Linked DNA regions of Neodiprion lecontei. Each later gene encodes a partner of the first gene's protein in a complex. Links are inferred from orthologs where the notes say so. Each region holds a gene or a part of one and is shown on either strand. Other genes may lie near its edges. The genes, in order: negative elongation factor B and negative elongation factor E.

What was found.
Region 2: negative elongation factor B (region 1) and negative elongation factor E share a complex: the UniProt entries of both Drosophila melanogaster proteins name them as parts of the NELF complex. The link is inferred for Neodiprion lecontei from reciprocal best matches to the Drosophila melanogaster genes NELF-B and Nelf-E.

The regions. Positions count from the first base shown.
Region 1 is NC_060261.1:555,794-562,727, forward strand, and holds negative elongation factor B, read right to left. Parts: upstream 5,257-6,934; 5' UTR 5,077-5,256; intron 5,026-5,076; exon of another isoform or gene 4,807-5,025; 5' UTR 4,575-4,806; coding exon 4,452-4,574; intron 4,374-4,451; exon of another isoform or gene 4,367-4,373; coding exon 3,890-4,366; intron 3,775-3,889; coding exon 3,607-3,774; intron 3,537-3,606; coding exon 3,411-3,536; intron 3,345-3,410; coding exon 3,075-3,344; intron 2,968-3,074; coding exon 2,677-2,967; intron 2,604-2,676; coding exon 2,403-2,603; intron 2,330-2,402; coding exon 2,177-2,329; 3' UTR 759-2,176; downstream 1-758. Other genes in the region: PHD finger protein rhinoceros, read left to right, coding at 5,645-5,672, 6,173-6,261, 6,465-6,629. UniProt on the Drosophila melanogaster protein: Essential component of the NELF complex, a complex that negatively regulates the elongation of transcription by RNA polymerase II.
Region 2 is NC_060261.1:4,102,913-4,107,423, forward strand, and holds negative elongation factor E, read right to left. Parts: upstream 2,793-4,511; 5' UTR 2,623-2,792; coding exon 2,542-2,622; intron 2,174-2,541; coding exon 1,677-2,173; intron 1,364-1,676; coding exon 1,120-1,363; 3' UTR 663-1,119; downstream 1-662. Other genes in the region: uncharacterized protein LOC107223896, read left to right, coding at 1-662. UniProt on the Drosophila melanogaster protein: Essential component of the NELF complex, a complex that negatively regulates the elongation of transcription by RNA polymerase II by RNA polymerase II. The NELF complex, which acts via an association with the DSIF complex, causes transcriptional pausing.

The DNA.
Region 1 (6,934 bases):
ATAACAAGCCTAGAGTGGTTATGTTATTTAGGGGTGGTTAGCAATGAGATTATGCTGGGTCTGAGATATACGTATGAAATGACAAATCTATCCTCAGTCGATAGATATTTACACGTGGAAAATTGCGTTTCGTTGCTTGCTACAATTTTGAGATATGCTTATTAGATAAGAATTTCATTCGGCGGATGTTTGCAGGAGAGAGCGGCACAAAATGTTTCCTGCAAGTGATCTTTTCGTTACTAAAGTAGCAGTGATATTTTACTTGTGTATGTAACGTAATATCATCACTGAGGTACAATTTGTTCTTTAATATACTGTAATAAACATTCGTTTCGATTTAAAATCGCTTAATTGTGACAACTATCGATAGATTAGTTCAACTCCTCGCATATGATAAATTTTCTCACAAATTATTTAATACTCAGTACAAAATATATTGCGTCATTTGATGACAGAGCCATGTAATTCGATTAAACGTTTCACATCACATTACAATGGATTAAAAAATTTTTAAAAATTATGGAGTCATTTTACCATGGGAATAATTGGACTTTATGTCCTTGTTACATAATGTACTATTCTTACTTATAAGAATTATTTACAGTAGCTATTAATGACTTTTTATCTTTGGACACGCACGCACGTGTTCATCCACGTACATCGTAGAGATTTAGTTATTATTTACTACGGGTTGCATGGCAGTGGCTGTTAATAGTGAAAACTACATAAAGTTAGTTCTACAATTTTTCCTTATTACCTATATAGGATGTGAAACTTTGCCAAATGGCAAATTCGTTGCAGTGAATACAAGTATACCTAAATATGCAGTTTTAAGGCATTTAGAGAGACATACATTTCCATTTTCCCTTTGATGTTTTATTTACGATTAATCTGCCCTCAGTAGAAATTATTTGCATCCACATACCTAATTGCAATTATAATGTACATGACAACTGATATGTAGAGGATAAACGCTCTGAATTTGGTTGCAATTTAGGTAATATTTTTAACGTACTGTAAAGCAACCTCGATTTAGTCAAAGTTGGAAATGTTGGTAATCAAACAAGCATGTCATGATATTCTTCACAGCGCTTACAGATTTCCGTGGACATGATTGATACAGAGTAACTCTCCATTTCTACGTTAAAAATATTATAATGAAACTAATATTGACAAATCCAATTTTAGTAGCGGAAAGAAGAAAATAAATTGAAAATATAGGTATGTAACATGACTTGATACAGTTAGGGAGTGCAAAAACTTCAGTAACATTAATTGGAATAGGAAATATGTACAATATTTCTGTTCGATTTAGTCGCACGTTTGGTCGTAAAAAGTAACGTTATATCGAAAATAAATTTGCACCTGATAACATTGGGTTTGCAGCTTATAATTTTAGCGTATCAAGGGTTGAGCCCAATATTTGCAGTCCGATGTTAATAATTTCGGATTATCGAAGAACCATTGTGACAACTATGATTTAACTGAATAGACAATTGGTATACATTGAAATTACCTCGAAACCCTTTCTTCTTTATTCCATCGTAATGACGTTGAAATATAAGACATGGGGCAGACAAATTTTTGAATGAATCGAATATTTTTGTGAACGTTCAACTGTTTTATTTTCTGTTATGTTCATCGCATATAAGTGTAAATTGCGAAATGTAGGTGATAACTATTCTCAACACAACTTGATGCACGCAATGAAAATTGTGAAATAAAATTGTTTTCTAATTATTTTGATAACCCACGTTATTTCTGACAGTTGATGATACATTTGTGATCATATTCAATTTTCAGTGGGGGAAAAGAGGGATTCCGTGATTAAAGGCAAAGGGTGATACGCTAAACAGTTTCATTTTGGCCTTAAATCATACGGATACGCAAGGTGACGTACCATATCATGGGTCAGACATGGTACCATTAAAAAAATATGTACGATGTATTTGTACACGCTACAAGTGTTGTTTCCACATTAGTGATATCCTTAAAGGAAGTCATTGGAAGTAAATAATAAAAATGCCTATCATCTATTGAAAACACATCTGAATCAAGGTGCTTCTTAATACATTCTATTCTGATATTGAATTGCGATACATTCTAATTTGTGTATAATGATAAAACTCTAAATACATCGCATACCCCGTAAAATCCTATTGTCGATGTAAAATAGTTAACGAGGCCCAGGTGTAGGGACAACATCTAGTGGTGAATCAGGGCATTCAAGTGTATCCATAGAAGTTGACGATATCAAAAGATCTTCTGTTGATTGGCTGCCAATTTTTTCTCGGAGAGATTGATAGAGACTATGCACAGCTTCGTTGTGCTGTAAATTATAATAGTTTTATAAATAAGTGACATTGACGTTAACGATGAAACTCCAGTAACGTGAGACCTACCTGGCTATTGGGCTGCAAGGCTTTCATCAGGGAATGTAATCGTGCCGGAGGAAGTTTGGGATGAATGTACCATAAAAGTTTCAAGAGGTGTCGCGTAACATTGTCCCTTGTTAATCCTGCCAGGAAGAATTCGTCGAATATGACGGTGCAAAATGATTCACCGGAAAACTCATCAGCCATATTTAAGATCAGCAGAGATACCTTTGCCAGGAGCAGATTGATTATTTCGTTGTAACAGTCAGGTGCAACATATTCTCGACACTTGTCAACTCACCAGAGTGTGTAAAAATGGATCCTCAAAAGCGCGATGCGCCTGGCAATTTGGTAGCGTTGCCAAGACCCGCATTAAGCCTCTCGCATCACCTCGAGCTCTTCCGCTACTCCCACTTCCACCTCCGCCAACGTATAAAGCGTGATACATGGATAAAACAGCTGCAACTCCAGAAAGTTGAGCGTAAGCTTGACATGCATCTGGAGGTGGTCCAGAGTGCTCAATAATAGCGATAGCACTTTCCCTTTCATCTGGTGGGAGCTTTCCATTTAATTGTCTTATCTGATCATCTACCTATTTTGAAAGGAGTTAATTTGTTACGGCAGTTTGGTAATACTAAGGTTTCAGTTGCAAAATTAATATAGAGTCAAGGAAAATCGTATATCAAGTATCAGACTAACCATGAGAGACATAAGTGCTGGCAGAAACTTCGTCACAACTTGACTGTCAAGTTTCGGCTCCTTAAAATCTTGGGAGTCGATCATTTGCCAGGCTGACAAGCCCAGGGCCAGCATTCTCAGAAGTAGAACAAGGACAGCGTTATCCCGTGGCAGAGCTTCCCCGTTAATTAGATGAAGAGCTATTTTTATTGCGCTACTAGCTAGAAAATTCACGGCGTATGGGTCACACAGTGTCATACTGAGATCCCCAAGTACTTGCTCCTGGCCTCTCTGTGCAAAAAAAATGATCCATTTTTATTGGTCGTTGCTTGAAATTATAGTTTCTTGCTATCGTACCTTGATGCTATCAAGAAATCCTTGTAGTTCTCGAGACCTTTTCACATCCACGTTTTTCTCCCTGATGCAAGCATCCAAGCACCAAGTAAACTTGTGGCATGGATCTACAGATATTATATCTTGAACCTAGAGACCAATCATCAGTTGTTTCATTAATTTGAAGAGAAATTGATACAATGATATTTTTGATTCAAACCTCTAGATCATGCAGTGCCATCAACAACTCAGCCCGAAGAGTACAGTAATGGATATTCTTAGTTCGTAAAAAAAGAGTCCTGAGAAATTGGAGTACCATGTCGTAAAGTTTCACGCTGTGACCTATCATGTGTGCCAGCTTCTGTACCACTTCTCCTTGTCTCCTCACCTTCGAATTAGACCAAGATTTGTTCAAGTCAACTTGGGGAATGTTAGGAAGCAAGTTCGAACTGAATAGCTGATAATAAACGTATTGGTCCGAATTAAACACAATCAGAACTAACCTTGGGCGATGGTGAAAAAAATAAGGCATTCAGGTTCCGATGATCGAACAAAACTTGTTCCTTTTCAATGATGTAGCGACTGAAAAGAGGCGATACCTCATCTCCGAAAAGACTTTGATTGTCCTTCCAGATCTGTCGTTTCACCTCCGTGTCAGCGTCATTGTAAAGTTCCTTTTCCCTAACCAGTACTCGTAGGTATTTGTCATCGATATGAGGGGTATTTCTTAAAATACACATAACGACTGGCCTGAGCGCGGCAACTCTAACGGCAGGAAAGCTCTTGGCCAACAGATCCTTAAGCCTACGGTCGCTTCCCCCCTTTTCCCCTCGCTCAGCCCCAATCTCGGCTATCCGCTTCACAAGTTTTTCTCTAAGCTCTTCTAATACCGAGGCGTGAAAGTCCAGCCTTCTGACGCCGTGGAGGTCCAATAGCGGTAACATTGGACGTAACGAAGGCAATAGAATACCATTTTCTAACTGGAATCTTCGGATTAGTAAGTATACTCATGCCAAGATTGTAATCGCTTGATTTAACCAGTCAACAATAGCGCCGAGTATTTACCTGGAACTCCTCAATGGCTTTCAGGGGATCGGTGCAACTGGTCAGAGCATCTCTGAGAAACACTTGGCCTGGAACTCCGAGATCCTCTAATCCCGTACCCTCCGTACTTTTGGTCGCACTCATTTTCACAGCCCACAAATATACGGTGTTTCCATCAAGGGACAGCGGTTCTGTATTCAAACCGACTTAACCTAACCTATCCTAACCTAAATAAATACAGAACTGTTCAAAGCTGAGCGTTGAACCACGTTTGACGGTTGTACATTGGCGGCTGGCAGGACAACGACAATTGTTTACAACAGTAGAATTATGAATGACTAGTCTTTCTTCTTTCCAAGATTGTTGTGCCGTCTTCCTGTTGAATATAAAATTCGTATCAATACCGAAAAATTAGAAATCGGTATTACCGGGTATTTTACTGAAAGTATCGCAGTTTTATATACATATGTTACGGAAATGAATGGCCTATAAGGCGTCTAGCATTCACCAACAAATAAGCAACTCAATAGACATGGAAATTATTTATCTGATCCGACGCACTGCGACGCACTATAGTTGACTATAGTCTAGTCGGTCGTCAACGGTCTAGCTATATTTATATGTATACAAGGATATCATACTATACCTCTACAATTGTCAGTCAAATTCAAACTTGTGACGCTAAATTTAAAAGCCGCGACACTTTTTATGATTGTTTGTAGCGTTGCTGGTAATCGTGTAAAAAATGATATGCTAAAAAGATGAATCAGCTCGATTGCGCGCCCATTTATAGTAAATTTTGACCGCGTATTTTTGATCTCGCTCCTGTCTTTGATTCTCCTAGTATATTTGGCAGTAATGCAACGTGATGGCCGCAAGTGTCGCGCGCGTCAGGTTGCAACAACGGGGTACTAAGCGAAAATAAATTCGTTTTTTTTCTAACTTTAAACAGGTTGAACAAGTACGATACAACAATGTCACGCTGAATTGATATACGTAGAAACGCGAGTTACTCAATTAGCATGTTCGCCGTTCCCGATGTCTTATCTGTGTAAAATTTATACCAATTCAAAAGTGCATTGGACGCAAAAACCGATCGGTCGAGCGATCGTTCTTTCTGCTGCTGCTGCTGCTGCTGCTGCTGCTGGCTGCTGTTGTGGGGTGGAATTCCGTTTACTGGGGTGGTGGCACCCGTCTGCCTTCCTCGACAGGTTATGTTTCCGACTTTCATCGGGATTTTAGGTGAGCCCAATATATCCGAAGCCAACTTCAGTTTAGCATCGCCGCGTACCAACCGACAGGATAACCAAAAATCGGACGCATTTTACCGGAATCAATTAGTGTTATCCAGTCGAGAATAAACACAGAACTTGCATTTCAAAACGACTGAGCGCGAAATGAAATCCGCACATTTCTAATGTTCACTTATTTTGTTTTCCTTTTTTTTTTTTTTTTGTTCTACCTTCAAAACGAGAAAGAATCTTCCAGTGACAGATGTGATGATAAGTGAATCGTGCCTGTGTCAATCGTAGTAGTTTGAACAGCGTTTACCAAACTGTAACTAGAATCAATGATGTGTTCTACTTTCTACTGGATGTGCCGCTAGATATGTGTCAGTTTTCCAATCATACCTGGTCGACTCAACGTTTTACAATTTCCTGAAACCTCCAGAGTTGAATAACCAATCTTGTGTTATTTAAAAACTTGCTGCAAATTTTTTACTCGCTTGTTTCTGTCTCCAGACATTCAATCGTGGTGGGAGGTGCCAAGTATCGCACATTTCTGCTCATTGTTTAGGGCTGCCTTCAATCTGCTGGACTTTGACATCGAGGTATCTAGTTCAATGCAAAAGTCGTGTATCGAATTAGCTAAATCAAATAGAATTTATAGAATTTTACTATAATTGTTTCTTGAGGCAGGATTTCCTGTTTGGTTAAACTCAATTTCTATCATCATAATCGTTCTGTCTAATTCTGTTCTTTGAAATGATTCATTAATAGAAAATGGAAATATTTGCACTTATTTTTCTTCCAGGATTTGGAAGAAGCTCTTCTCACAGACGGCGGTACAGAAGGCCGGCTATTGCAAGAACTAATTGTCAGATTACTTGAAGGCTGTCTACCAAATGACACTCGCAATGACATCTCTACTTTTAATTATCAGATGTTCCTCCGTAGACTCTTTAGAAAAAAGTGTCAAGTGAGTGTCTAGCTTCCAAAGTAGATTAGAGTATGTACATTAAAATTTGATGTCTGAAAGACCAATTCCTCATTTCTGATATGAACTACACCATCTAAATCAGTCTTGTGAACAGTACTCCGATTGATAGTACAATAATATATTCAACGAGTAAATAAAGTAACTAGTACCAAAAAAGTGAGAGCCTGACTGTGCTACTTTTGAATTTACTCGTTTCATAAGCTTTATCAATTTTATCCAGGGTGCTAGACAATTACTGTCAATGTAATTGAAAATTTGATGTACACTTTCTCTTCAAAATATTT
Region 2 (4,511 bases), about 3.5 Mb from region 1:
CTAATACAGTATCCAGCTTGAACACTGACCAAGAAGAGATTCGGATTCAAGGCCAATCCTCTCTCAGAGACGAGAGCAAATGTGAAAAACGTAAGTGTCCGAGATCGAGGTCGTCCTCCCCGACGATAGACGGAAAAAAAGCTGTGAGGCAGACAGCTTCTCCAGTGAAATCGCTACCGCCGTTGATCTCGGTGACACCTGACACACCCGATCCAGTTCCTAGCCCAGTACCAGAAGTCCAGGCACAGCCGCAGCGCGCAACTGTGTCTTACACTCAAAGCATAGACGAGGAGGTCTCTCTGAGGCAGCAGGTTGCCGGAGTCACACAGTTCGTGGCGTTCCCAACATCCCAAATTCCAGCAAACTTCTTCTCCCTAGCATCCCCGATCGACTCAAGGTATGAGTCTGAACCGAGTATAATGGACATGACCCAGCAGCTACTGAGGGCTCTTAGATTGGCTGGTACCAGAGCAATGAGGCATTTCGTTGGCTATGTCGCCTCCAGAGTAAGCACTGAAGACCGTGGCGAAAAGATCAAGGAAATTGAACTTGCGATATGCGCGCTGCTGCTATTGATAGCTGGCCTCCTCATTTTATGTTTTGGGTCACCGAGAACCGTGACGCATCATCATCATTGGGATTACTTCAACCCTCCGCAATGAGGCTGAGATCATCAGTGCACGAATTTATGAAGAAATCTATCAGAGCACATGAACATTTAAAATGTGACAAAAACGGCTTCGTATATATACGCCACACGTATCCCTCGAAACAGATTAATGCACTATTATTTTGATATAATGATGATAGTGGATTTGTACGCAACCCTATAGTTTGATTTATCAAATTATTATTGTTTATTAATTATATTGTTGATGGTTACCTACGTTTTAATAAATCTGTAAATTATTTACACTTTAGGCAAACTTAACAATCTCCTTTTCCGTAAATATCCAAGTAGACTTGACGATATTTAGCTTTGCTATTTAAAAATTTACCTTCGTTTCTCTAGAGTACCTGTACACCACAAGTCCAGGTATCAGCTCCACTCAATTTTCACAGGTAAAACGCACAATTATAAAAGTCCTATTACAACTCCCATCAAGCTTCTTAGTCCATTTATCCAAAGAGATCTTCATCGTAAACCTTTAAATCTCGTCTGTCCTTATGCGAACTTTTTTGGGAGTAGCTAGCTGCTACTGATGACCACATCGAACTCGATGTCGTGTCGTTAATAGGATCTATCACAGGCTGCCTTCGCGCTAAAGACACTTTCAGCTGTATCGACGATACCATGCTGCCATCCATTTCACTGATGGCTCTTTCCGCTACCTCAGCTTTGTCAAAGGTTATGAATCCTCGGCTAAAATAATAAGAATTCAAAATATAATATATATTTGTATTTGCCAGATACCTATTACCTAAAAAATCTAGAACCCCCTGAGAATTTAGTTACAAAAAATGTAAACACAAAACTAAAAATGATTGTATCGAATCCAGATTTCCGACCACAAGCATTCACATTAAAACTTGTCAATTTTATAAAAAGAAAGGTACATAAAGTTTAAAATTTAACTTTTAAGCTTGGAAATGTAACCACTTTCAAAATTATCCAAGATATTTATGCTATCCATCAAATTAAGGTGAATATTCGTATTAAAAATGGTATTGCTTACTTTTTCTCTGTTTCCATAGAAATATTTACAATCGGTCCAAACGTTTGGAAGTGTTTCTTCAGAAAATCTTCTGATATTTTATGTCCGCAAACAAATATCGTGTTACCAGCACGAGGTTTGGCTTCGGTCCTCGTACCTAATTGTTTGTCAGGCAGCCCTCTTTCCTCGTGGTCTCGAGCACTGACAAAACTATCATATAGGTCTTTTACTCTTGGTCTCGACGCCTCGGTATCGTCTTCCTCTGGTTGCGTCGCCGAAAATGGTTGATAAGAACAAATAGTTTTTTCTGTACTATTAAGTTTCCTTTCCAATCCTCTCGGCCTCTTAAATGACTGCTCCGGACGCTTTTGCGTCTTCGTAATGGCAGGGATGATTCCTGACTTGATTAATTTTTTAGCAACTTCCCGAGCATCCCTGGCTTCTGTAGGCCTCTTTGGTAACTGAGGTATGCGCTCCGGCTCCGGTTTAGGTGTCTTCAGAGCTTGCAAGGCTTTTTTCTTGATAAAGAAAGCAGACAGGGTTAGAGTTTAAGATAATTATATGAATTAAGATATCAAAACTAATTTCTCGCATAAGAAGTAAAAGATACATTGGGTAGATAGTTTTCCAGAAATATATTCAACTCGCGAATGATATAATTAAGATAGGTACAGACTGCAAGAACTGACTTCCTTGACGTAAGTTTTGAGGTTGGAAAAGACGACACGGACCGCGTCAAAAGCGGTAAGTTTAGAGTTAGGTTAAGTAACTTCGATGTCTAAGAGCTAATTGATATTAAGCCGTGAGAACGAAAAGTCGCAAGTGAAGTTTTCATGAATATAAATTAGGTACTGCGTACGGACTAGCAAAGCGAGGGAAAAATTACCTTCCGTTTGAGTTTGTTGTATTTAGCCTGCAGCATTAATTCCTCTTCAGTTAAATTCGACGGAAAGTGTAAGTACACCATTTTGTCATATCACTATACGCTAACCCTTGGTATAAACGGAATAAAAATAACACATAAATAGATGGAAATATAACAAGTTTTCGCGCAAAACGTCAACACACATAACCTTCGGACACCCTGGAATCAACAAAACGACGCGCCGCTAACACTGACCTCTATACAACTATACTAACGTGTCCCTCTCATTTGATAGCGCTGCCTGGGAAGGTGTGAGTTTTAGAAATTAATTTTCGAGACACGCCGGACGGTAATTGCAGATCGATTACCGACTGGTATCCTTCTGTGCAAACTCCCCAAAAGTGGTGGATAATACAGAGTATACTTACCATAGTGAATAGCTTGCAACTAGTACTCGGCCGGTAACTGATCCTAAGTCCATTTGAAGGCGTGTTAACCATCAATATATCAATACGAATCGAATTGTAATAATATTTCATTCTATTGAAAAACGATTCTTAATAAAACGGTTAAAATGTTCGACTCACAATTATTGTATCTGGCTAAATGAACAAAACTTAACTACCCCGATGACAGTTGCTTTGAAATTTTAATTGAAAAAGGTCGTAAATATTATCACTGTTGACCTGCAATTTCTAGCGATAGAATTTGCTACAAAATAAAACTACTCGATTTTTGGGGAACTAGATGCAGCATACATTAACGATACAAAAAGTAAAAATAGATAATTCAGAAAATTCATGACGGGCCGATTCGGCTAACGCGATAACGTTGCTTTATGGCAGACAAGAGGGATTTAGGGGATTATAAAACAATAGATTAAGTAATCAGACAAATTATTTCCTTTAGCGAATATTAATCCGTATATTTGAACCTTGCGCAATTTATAATGAGAATTTCTGACGATATTTTGACATGACATTTCAAGATACAACGATAAAAGATTAAAATTTTAACAACCAATAAAATATTTCACAATAACGCATCTAATGTGTATGAAAACGATGTATGATATAACACAGTATAATGTATCTTAATAAGACAAAACACTAAATACCACAGCAAATTCTATTATTATCAATAAACAAAACAAACAAAACTCAGTTGAGCGACTCGATACAATAAAAAAAGTTTAAAGCTAAACAACGAAATTCACAAAAGCAAGAGAAAGGCGATAGTTAACATAAGACAAAGAAAATAAATAACAGAAAAAGATCGTAGAACACTAGGCAAGATAAATAATAAGAGTAAGGCATATTCGAAACAAGAAATTAAAGAGAATTAAAAAATGCTCTAATTGCCTGCGACCAAAAGTAAAAAAAAAAAAAAGAAAAACTGTTTGTTCTTCACCAGATAGTAACTTATTTCTGGAATTTTTTCAAATAGCAATCACAGTCTTTTTTAATTCTCCGGTTTGATTAACGTAATGAAAGAAAAGAATGTCTTCAACACGTCTCGCATCGTTTGAACGGCCGTGACAGTGCAAAAAGAATAGTACAAGTAACAATAACAAATAAAGAAAATTAAAATACCATAAATTACATAAATTAAAACAGTCACAGAACGAAAGTAAGGTAAAGTACAGATAATCTAAACATTTCGGTACGCTAGTTGCGAAAATCATTCGTAATATCCTTAAAAAAAAAGACGATATTATAAGTAATATTAAAACTAACTTAGCAACCCCGCATTGGAAACTCTCTTAGAAAATATTAGTGTTCCCTGTGATATCCGAAGTGATATTACTGCGGCAATATTAAATGTACAGAAACCTTCCATTGATGAAGACCTTATTTTTCTATTCAAGTGAGATGCGTAATCCATAAAAAGAAGATACTGTACTAACGACTAGATATATAGAAAAAGAAAATGTACAGCAAGCGAAATTTGTAACATATATGCGAAACAGGCGATATAAGCAGAACGTAATT